Linked DNA regions of Oryctolagus cuniculus. The protein of the gene in region 1 purifies or fractionates together with the protein of each later gene. This does not show direct contact. Links are inferred from orthologs where the notes say so. Each region holds a gene or a part of one and is shown in the gene's direction. Other genes may lie near its edges. The genes, in order: NCOA4 and FTL.

The links.
Region 2: the proteins of NCOA4 (region 1) and FTL purify together in Homo sapiens (co-immunoprecipitation; 3 studies listed by BioGRID and IntAct, counting the BioPlex papers as one, with this or other methods). This does not show direct contact. The link is inferred for Oryctolagus cuniculus from reciprocal best matches to the Homo sapiens genes NCOA4 and FTL.

The regions. Positions count from the first base shown.
Region 1 is NC_091446.1:82,699,317-82,703,850, reverse strand, and holds the start of NCOA4 (nuclear receptor coactivator 4), read left to right. Parts: upstream 1-1,495; 5' UTR 1,496-1,651; intron 1,652-4,534. UniProt on the Homo sapiens protein: Cargo receptor for the autophagic turnover of the iron-binding ferritin complex, playing a central role in iron homeostasis. Acts as an adapter for delivery of ferritin to lysosomes and autophagic degradation of ferritin, a process named ferritinophagy.
Region 2 is NC_091449.1:8,287,859-8,291,465, reverse strand, and holds FTL (ferritin light chain), read left to right. Parts: upstream 1-1,754; 5' UTR 1,755-1,855; coding exon 1,856-1,957; intron 1,958-2,093; coding exon 2,094-2,240; intron 2,241-2,559; coding exon 2,560-2,685; intron 2,686-2,780; coding exon 2,781-2,933; 3' UTR 2,934-3,061; downstream 3,062-3,607.

The DNA.
Region 1 (4,534 bases):
CCCCTTCTGTATCCCCACCGGTGCCTCCGCCACTTTCTACTCGGGTTGCCTTGCCCCTTGTAGGAGCCGCCATGGAGTGGGACCCATAAGACCCCCTTTTGGGGGCCGTCATTGTGGTGCGCCGGTTCGAGTCCCAGCTGCTCCACTTCCTATCCAGCTCTCTGCTAAGTCCTGGGAAAGCAGTAGAAGATGATCCAAGTCCTAGGGCCCCTGCACCCACGTGGGAGACCCAAAAGCTCCAGGCTCCTGGCTCCAGCCTGGGCCAGCCTTGGCCATTGAGGCCATTTGGGGAGTGAACCCGCAGGTGGCAGACCTCTCTCTCTCCCTCTCCATAACTCTGCCTTTCAAATAAATGAATTAAATTGTTTTAAAGCTCCTATTACGATCTTCAGCTTGTCTGGGAAAAGTGGAAGCAGTTGGCAATGAGTGTGGAGCCCCCCCTAGGCATCTGGCTACAAACACACTCAGAATCCCAACGTGGTAATGCCACCCTGGGAAGCTGGTGTGAGGAGGCACTGCAGGGAGGCAGGGTGTTATATATTGTTAGCCATCACAAAACACACCGAATGCCGGAATAAGGGGAAGGGTTTATTGGGGAACATCCAACAGTCCGGAGTGAAGGGGCAGCGAAGGGAAAGAGAGGAGGAGACTATAAGAGAGAGTCAGAGAGGAGGGAGAAGAGAGATGAGAGGAGGAGAGGAGCCAAGAGAGGGGACAAGAGAGAAGAACCGAGAGGAGAGCGAGCAGGAGAGAAGAACCAAGAGACCAGAGGAGGAGGCTAGAGACAGGAACCAAGAGAGCAGGGAGCAGAGCCAAGAGAGCACGTGTGCAGGAACAGGCCCTTTTAAAACTTTGCCCGAGGGCGGGCAGGGAAGCAGGAGCAGGGAATCCCATTAGGGTGGGGGTGGAGCATGACAACAGAAGTTGGGCCATGTGGCCACCTGGCTTTCAGCCATGGTGGCAGGGGCTAGAGCCTGGGATGTAAATCAGGGTATAGATCGCGCCATAGATAAAACTAACATAGATAACACCTAACACTGGGTGTGCAAGATGGCCCTTAGGGAGCAGCTAAGCATGCCTTGGGAGTGGTTCCAGGGAGTTGGAATTTGGGCTGATATTAGCTATTTACCCTATGCCCCTCACACAATAGCTCCCCACGCTCTGCCTCATGGAGCCCCTGGGAACCATCATGCCATGCTCCTTTCTGGCTCTAGGAATTTGCTCTGGTTTCTGCATGGGAGTGGAATTACACAACTGTCCACCTTTTGTGTCTTCTCACACTTTTGCATCTCAATGAGAAAGCCTGTGAGGGCATCTGGTGAGAGAGAACCACTTAGGATCCCATGCTGGGTGCAGCATTTGCCTTCAAAAACAAGAAACCTTGGCGTCATTTAATTTGATTTATTCGGCGAAGAAGTCAAAGGACACTCTAAGGGCAGGCAGCAAGGGTGCATCTGCGCTCTGCGGCCTCTAGAGGGCAGCCAAGGGCTTCGGGCAGAGCTCTCGCGAGAGTGTCAGACGGGCGGCGAGAGGCGTGGGAGTAAAGTGGCGTTCTCGCGAGAACTCTGTCTTTTCAGCCTCGGCTTCTGTGGAGCCGCGTCTCCGTCAACCCAAGCTCGCGTCGGATCCCCCGAAAAGGCGCTCGCAGCTGGTAAGTACGGGAGTGGCCGGCGGGGCGGGAGCGCCGGGGGTGCGGTGACCGCTGGTTTGCCGGGCTGGGCCTCCTGCCCGCCGCCGGCCCGGGCCTGGCTTCCGACTCCTCCGTGCGACGTCTCCGGCGCGAGGCCACCGTCGGGGCCTGGCCTGGCCTCGCTGGCCCTTGACGCGCCCTCCCTGGGGCTCCCGGTCGCTCAGGCCTGGCCCCGTACCCCCAGCCACCCTCACGGCCAGCCCCTGCGGTGACAGCCCCTGGTTCCCGGTGCTCGGGTCTGGGTCTCTGGCCCAGAGCCTGTTCACGTGAGCCTAGCTCGTCAGGTGGAAATGCAGAAAAAAAAAAAAAGAAAAGAAACAGTGGTTTCGGGGCCGTCTCCTTTGCTTCTCCCCCACATAGCGGGGTGACCTCGGTCCGTGTCACAGCCGAGGAGCAGGGCGTGCTGCGCTCACTCTGATTCACGCCGTGGAGAATCATTTCTTCAGGGCCCGCAATGTTCTGGGTGGAGAGGTTACCAGCGGCGAAGAGAACCGGACAGCCAGATTCCTGTGTCCGGAGCAGTCACAGCTCCGTCCGCGGCCTCGGGCCGTGGAGGTGGCACGGGGGCCGGGGAGGGTGGAACGGAGTGACTCCCCGTGTTACTTTCCAGTCCGGGGAGCGTCCCCGCGGGTCACTGCCTTTGGGAAGCCTGCTTGGTCGTTTGGAAATCGGAAGCCAGGACTGTTGGAGGTTCCTCTCCTGCCTTGGGACTCAGGCAGGCTACTATGCTGGCTCGTTTGGCGATTGCCAGCTTGCAGGTTTGTTCATTTGAGTGAGAGAGAGATGCAGAGTCTAGCACAGTTGACTTCTGCCCCGACTCTTCTGTGGCCGCGCCTTTGTCCTTGGGTGTCGGGGTGGGGAAAAAAAATCTTTGGTATTTCAAGTTGTATGATGGTTTGTGTCTCAGCGAATCTCTCCAGTTTTGCATTGCCTTTGGGCGAACTGGTGTTTCGAAAGTGGAACGTTGGGTGGGGTCAGGCCGAGAAGAGGTGCAGGAATTCGCGGTTTGGAATTAGGTAGCACCCTCCACACCTTTCCCGTTGTATTAAATCAGCTGCGCTGCAATCTCAAAAAAGGCTGGGGGAGGGGTTCAAAACACTCTGGGGCTTCTCCCGAAGCGGGCGCCTTCCCCCTTTGAGAGTCTCTTAGTATTTTCTAGAGCTTTCCTCTGTCATGTGGGAGGGCCCTCTGCAGAGGTCCTGGTGTTGCACCTGGACTGGTAACGCCCAGGCCCTTATTCCAAATAATTGGTTACTTTTTGCTCTATCCTTGGTGAATCGCTTCTCCTCTAGCTGGCAAGGTCACACCATTGTATTCTCAGGGGCTGTCACAGTAAGTCAGTCATGAGCTTAAACACTCGATAATTTGAATGAGGACATAAAACCTTGGCCTTCAGTGAGTCATTGATACGTGGTGCGGCTAGGAGCTTTTGACTCGGCTCTGTGATTAAGTCTTGGTGAGCCCATTAACTTTTGCTCTCTTCACCTTAAATTTCTAACAAGTCTCACCCTCTGGAGAGCCACCAGCGGTGAGACACTGGAGACCTCTCACAGGCGCAACCCAGTTGCCCCTGGTCCGATGGAAGGACCCGCCCACCCAACAATGGAGGGGACCCGATCCCCTGACAACTATGGGAAGAGGTTTCACTTGAGTCTTTCCAGAGATCGCTCCTCAGCCTGTGTGTATACCGGCCCGAAATGTCAAACCCTGGACCCCAGTCTCCAAAGGCTGACCCTCTAACAGCCAACCTCAGCACCTTTCCCTAAACAAGCCACCCATGAAGAGACAAGGAAGAGGCCTGCCTCCTCCCAACATCGGGTGACATGGAGGACCTCAAGGGTCTGGTGGACCAAGCCCAACACCTGTCCCTGACCCCTAGTCCAATGGGCCCGCTGCTGGTGGTGCTGATCTGTGCAGCCCTGATGTTAAACTCAGGCCGCCGGTGACCAGGCTGGGTTCCAGGATGGGCCCAGTGATTTGTCTTTCTGTCCGGGCACACAGTAACTGACTGGACCCTGGGACCAGCCCTTCAAGGATGCAGTCAGGCAGCTGGTAGAGCGGACTAAGAGGACCCTTGGACTGATCATCGCTCTGTTATACCCATTGTCACTGCGGTAGCTGGTGCAGCTGTCGCCACCATTTCCCTAGTCCAAAGTGCACCGGTGAACAACGTCACTCAGCTAACGGCCACTCCCCTGTTTACCCAAAACCAAGCCACCGGTCAGATCAAAACAGCGATCCTGGCCTTAGAACAGGGGTTGGATTCACATCAGAAACAGATTGAACTGTTTTGGCAGACCATGCACCCCCAGTGTGACGTTGGCTTCACAGATGGTTCTGTCTCCAGCGTGCCTGTCTTAGACTGGGAAACTTGGTCCCATACCTTGTCAGCCTGCATCGGGGCTCTTGGATGGGCAGTTTTCTCAGGCGCTCTTCAGTTTAACCCAACAAATTCTAAAGCTTGATGCTACCCGCGTTTCTGACCTGGTAGTCACCACCTTTACCCAGGGCCTGGGCGATGACTGGTGGGGACCCGTGAAGTTTTGCTTACATCTCGACGCGTTGATTATTGCAGAGGTGGTTATTGTGGGTTGTGGCTTATTGATTTTTTTTCCCCCATGCCATGCTCAGCAGAAAGGCTGCTCTACTGGCTGAGATTTTGGCCATATTGTCTGTCCTAAAACAGAGGGGGGAGATGTGGGTGATCCTGTGCCTGCCTAGCCCATGCAGGGGGTTAAGAGGGCATGGCACACCATGTCCCGTGGGAGAAACCCAGGTCAAGGGCTCAGCAGACTGAGACCCCCATATATGACTTGACTGCAGGCAGACAGCAGGGGCCCCGGG
Region 2 (3,607 bases), on another chromosome or scaffold:
CTACCTGAGGCTAAAGGTCTTCAGGCTAAAGTGGAAAATGTGGTGAATCAGTAACTCCACAGGCAAACTGGGCAGACAGTAAGTGTGGAGGGGGCTGAGGGGAGCCTGGGTGGCCACCCCGCCCAGCGAGACCGTGGTCACACGCAGGGTCCCAGGGAAAACACTGGGAACCAAAGACACGCGAGAACGCACACACGGTTTCAGACAGGGTGCCGCCCTGGGGGAGCGCGCGGCCTTGGGTCTGGTCCCAAGGGTCTTAAGCAGTCAGCAGCTCCAAGGCCGACGCTGGCCACTGCCCCTTCCCCTCCCCCCGCGGAGTCAGCATGACTCAGCACATCCCGGCCTGGTCACCCGCCTAGGCCGAGGGCCCCAGATACTGCTTGGGCCCAGCACCTGGGGGTCGCCTTGGCCAGGAGCTGTAGCGCCCAGGTCCTGACCCTGCACCCCGCGCCTGGGGCCTCGGCTCCCCAGGCCTGCCTCCAGGGGCCACTTAAGTGGGGTCCAGGTCCTGCCTTGGCTCCTCCTCCCCCGAGGTCAGGGCGCTGGTTTGAGCCCCTGACTCCCAGACCCACATGCATCTGGTGCGTTTAAAAAAAATGCACGTTCCGGGGAGACAGGCACCCCGCCCCTGTGTCCCCGACCTCTGTCCCTCGGCCGCCCAAGGCGTCTCCTGGACACGCAGAAGCAGCAGGTGGCAGGCCAGACACGGGGCCTCTGTAGAGAGACTGCTCCGGGGCCACGGGAGACCCCAAGTCTCTGGGTTACCGCCATAACAGCCCCCCCAGGAAACGCAACCCCAGGGAGACCCCAGCACCCGGGGGGTTTCACTCTCCCCATCTCACTTCCCAGGAACGCTGGGCGCCGACGGACTCCAAGGCATCCGAGGAGCCCAGGCTTCTGTGCGCCTTAAGGGGCCGGGCCCCTCTTACAATCGTCCCTTCCCCCCGCGCCCCAATAGACTTCCAGGACCCCTCCCCGCCACTTCGACCCCAGGCTCCACACGCCCCAGCATCAATGACCACCTGGAGCGCCTAAAGGCCTCCCGGGGAGGACTTAAATGTGGATGCCCATGGTGTCCCCACCTCCTCCTAACCCCCAGGCCTCAGGGCAGGAGCCCCCTCCTCCCAGAGATCCGCAGGGCTCGCTTACAGCCACCTCCACAGCCCTCCACAGCCCTCCTGCTCGGGGAGACCCCTCAGCTCACAGCACAAACCCCTGGCAGCCTGCAGGTCCTCTCCGCGCTCTGAGGCACGACCCCCCCCCCCCGGGTTCCAGAAAGTTCCATGCTCTCAGAAACGGCCACAGACCCCTGCTTTCCTGAGGTAGCCCCAGGACCACAGGGTCATCACTCCCCAGGGGCTCCCCGGGCACCCACCAACCTCTCACCTCCCGGAGAGACCCTCAGAAGCCCTCGACTTCCCCGAACCAGCCACAGAACCCCCACCCCCATTCTCCATTTCACAACAGGCTCGCGCAACAGGCGCGTGACTTCCCCACCTCAGGGTGGGGACGGAGACCCCCTTTCTGCGCCTGATTGGTCAGAAGCCGCCCGGAGGCCCTGCCTCCCCCAAACGCCAATTGGCCGAGCCCTCGCCCTCCGAGCCCCGCCCCCGAGGGCCAGCAGAGTATAAAAGCCGCCGCCCAAGCAGCCGCCCGAAGCTACGCGTCGGGAGACCCGCGGACCTGTGTCTTGCTTCAACAGTGTTTGAACGGAACAGGCCCGGGGACTCTCTCACAGGCTTCGACCGCCCTCCGACCTCCTCTCCAGTCAGAAGCTCCGGGACCACCTCTCGGCCACCTCCTGCTCCTGGGACCAGCCCACCGCGGTTCTGTGGTCATCTCACCGCCGCCAACCATGACCTCCCAGATCCGTCAGAATTACTCCCCCGAGGTGGAGGCTGCCGTCAACCACCTGGTCAATCTGCATCTGCGGGCCTCCTACACCTACCTCTCTCTGGTGAGGGTCCGCGGGACGCCCCCGACCCGAGTTGCACACAACTGCGCGTGCGCGGGCCCGCTTTGTCCCGCGGCGGCGCCGGGGGCGGAGCCCGCACGCCTCCCGCCAACGGTTTTCCTTTCGCGTCTTCCCGCAGGGCTTCTATTTCGACCGCGACGATGTGGCTCTGGAGGGCGTGAGCCACTTCTTCCGCGAGTTGGCGGAGGAGAAGCGCGAGGCCGCCGAGCGGCTCCTGAAGATGCAAAACCAGCGCGGAGGCCGCGCCCTCTTCCAGGACGTGCAGGTACCTGGTGTGCGGCCCGCGGACTACATCTCCCGGCGGGCTGCGCGCGCCGAGACCGGAGCCCGAGCGCCGGCTGGGTGTCGCGCGGCCTTCTGGGAGATTGAGTTCAGTCGTGAGCGAGTCGTTAAGGTTGGAAAAGGAGGTGAACCCTGAGGGCCCCGCGGTCCGGGCCGCTGCGTGGTCTCCTGAGGCGACTCTTGTAGGAGGGTGGGGGTAGTAAGTACAAGCCCGCCCACCTCTTTTGAGCGTCCCCGGCCCCCGACGGCTGCTGGGAAAGTGGAGTTTGGGCCCAGTGCTGAGCCCCTCGTCCTTTGTGCAGAAGCCGTCCCAGGATGAGTGGGGCAAGACCCTCAACGCCATGGAAGCCGCCTTGGCCCTGGAGAAGAACCTGAACCAGGCGCTCCTGGACCTTCATGCCTTGGGATCCGCCCACACGGACCCTCACGTAAGTGCCCCCGCCACCGCGCCTTTGATTGGGCTGATTTCCCTTGTGAGCCTTCCTCCTCCGTGCGCCGTCTGATCTCCCCTTCTCTCCGTCAGCTCTGTGACTTCCTGGAGAACCACTTCCTGGACGAGGAGGTGAAGCTCCTGAAGAAGATGGGCGACCACCTGACCAACATCCGCCGCCTGAGCGGCCCCCAGGCCTCGCTGGGCGAGTATCTCTTCGAGAGGCTCACGCTCAAGCACGACTAGGGGCGCCCGGAGCCAGCGGCGCCGCGCGTCTGCCCGCGCTCTCCTGCCAGCCGCCAGGCAGCTTGTTCACAGCCCTGAACCCTCTCCCAAACCTGGGACCAAACGGAAATAAAGTTTCTTGCTGCAGCATGGGGTTGTGGTGTGCATTACGGTGGAGGCGGCGGAACGGACCTTCAGGGCTCCACGGAGTGGGCTGGCAGGGGAGAGGTCCGCCAGGCCGGCTGGCCGTTAACTGCCCTGCCCAGCGGGTCGGGCCAGGTTCAGGGAGGGCTGGCAGCAAGGCCCTGTTCGGCCTCAGCAGCCTGGGCGGTGATGGGGTCAGGCAGCGGGCCAAGCTCTGAAAGGCAGGTAAACAATGAGTGACCCTTCACCACGGGCAGCCCAGAGCGGCCGGCCAAGGCTGCTGCTCCTTGCGCCCGCGCCGGGGTAACTCCGGTGCAGGGCACGTACCGAGAAGACAGGTCAGGAGGAGCAGGGGCGCGTGATGCTGTTGGGGTTCAGCACAGGAACCAGACGTGCGACCCGGGCCCAGAGTCTCCAAAGGGGAACTGAAGCAGCTTACGCGGGTTTCTAGAAGCGTCTGCTGGGTCAGCTCTGACCCCTGTTCCCTTTGCGGGAGCAGAGGAAGTGAACCGGGAGCTGGAGGCCTGCTCAGCGCCACGCCCCTCCCGGCA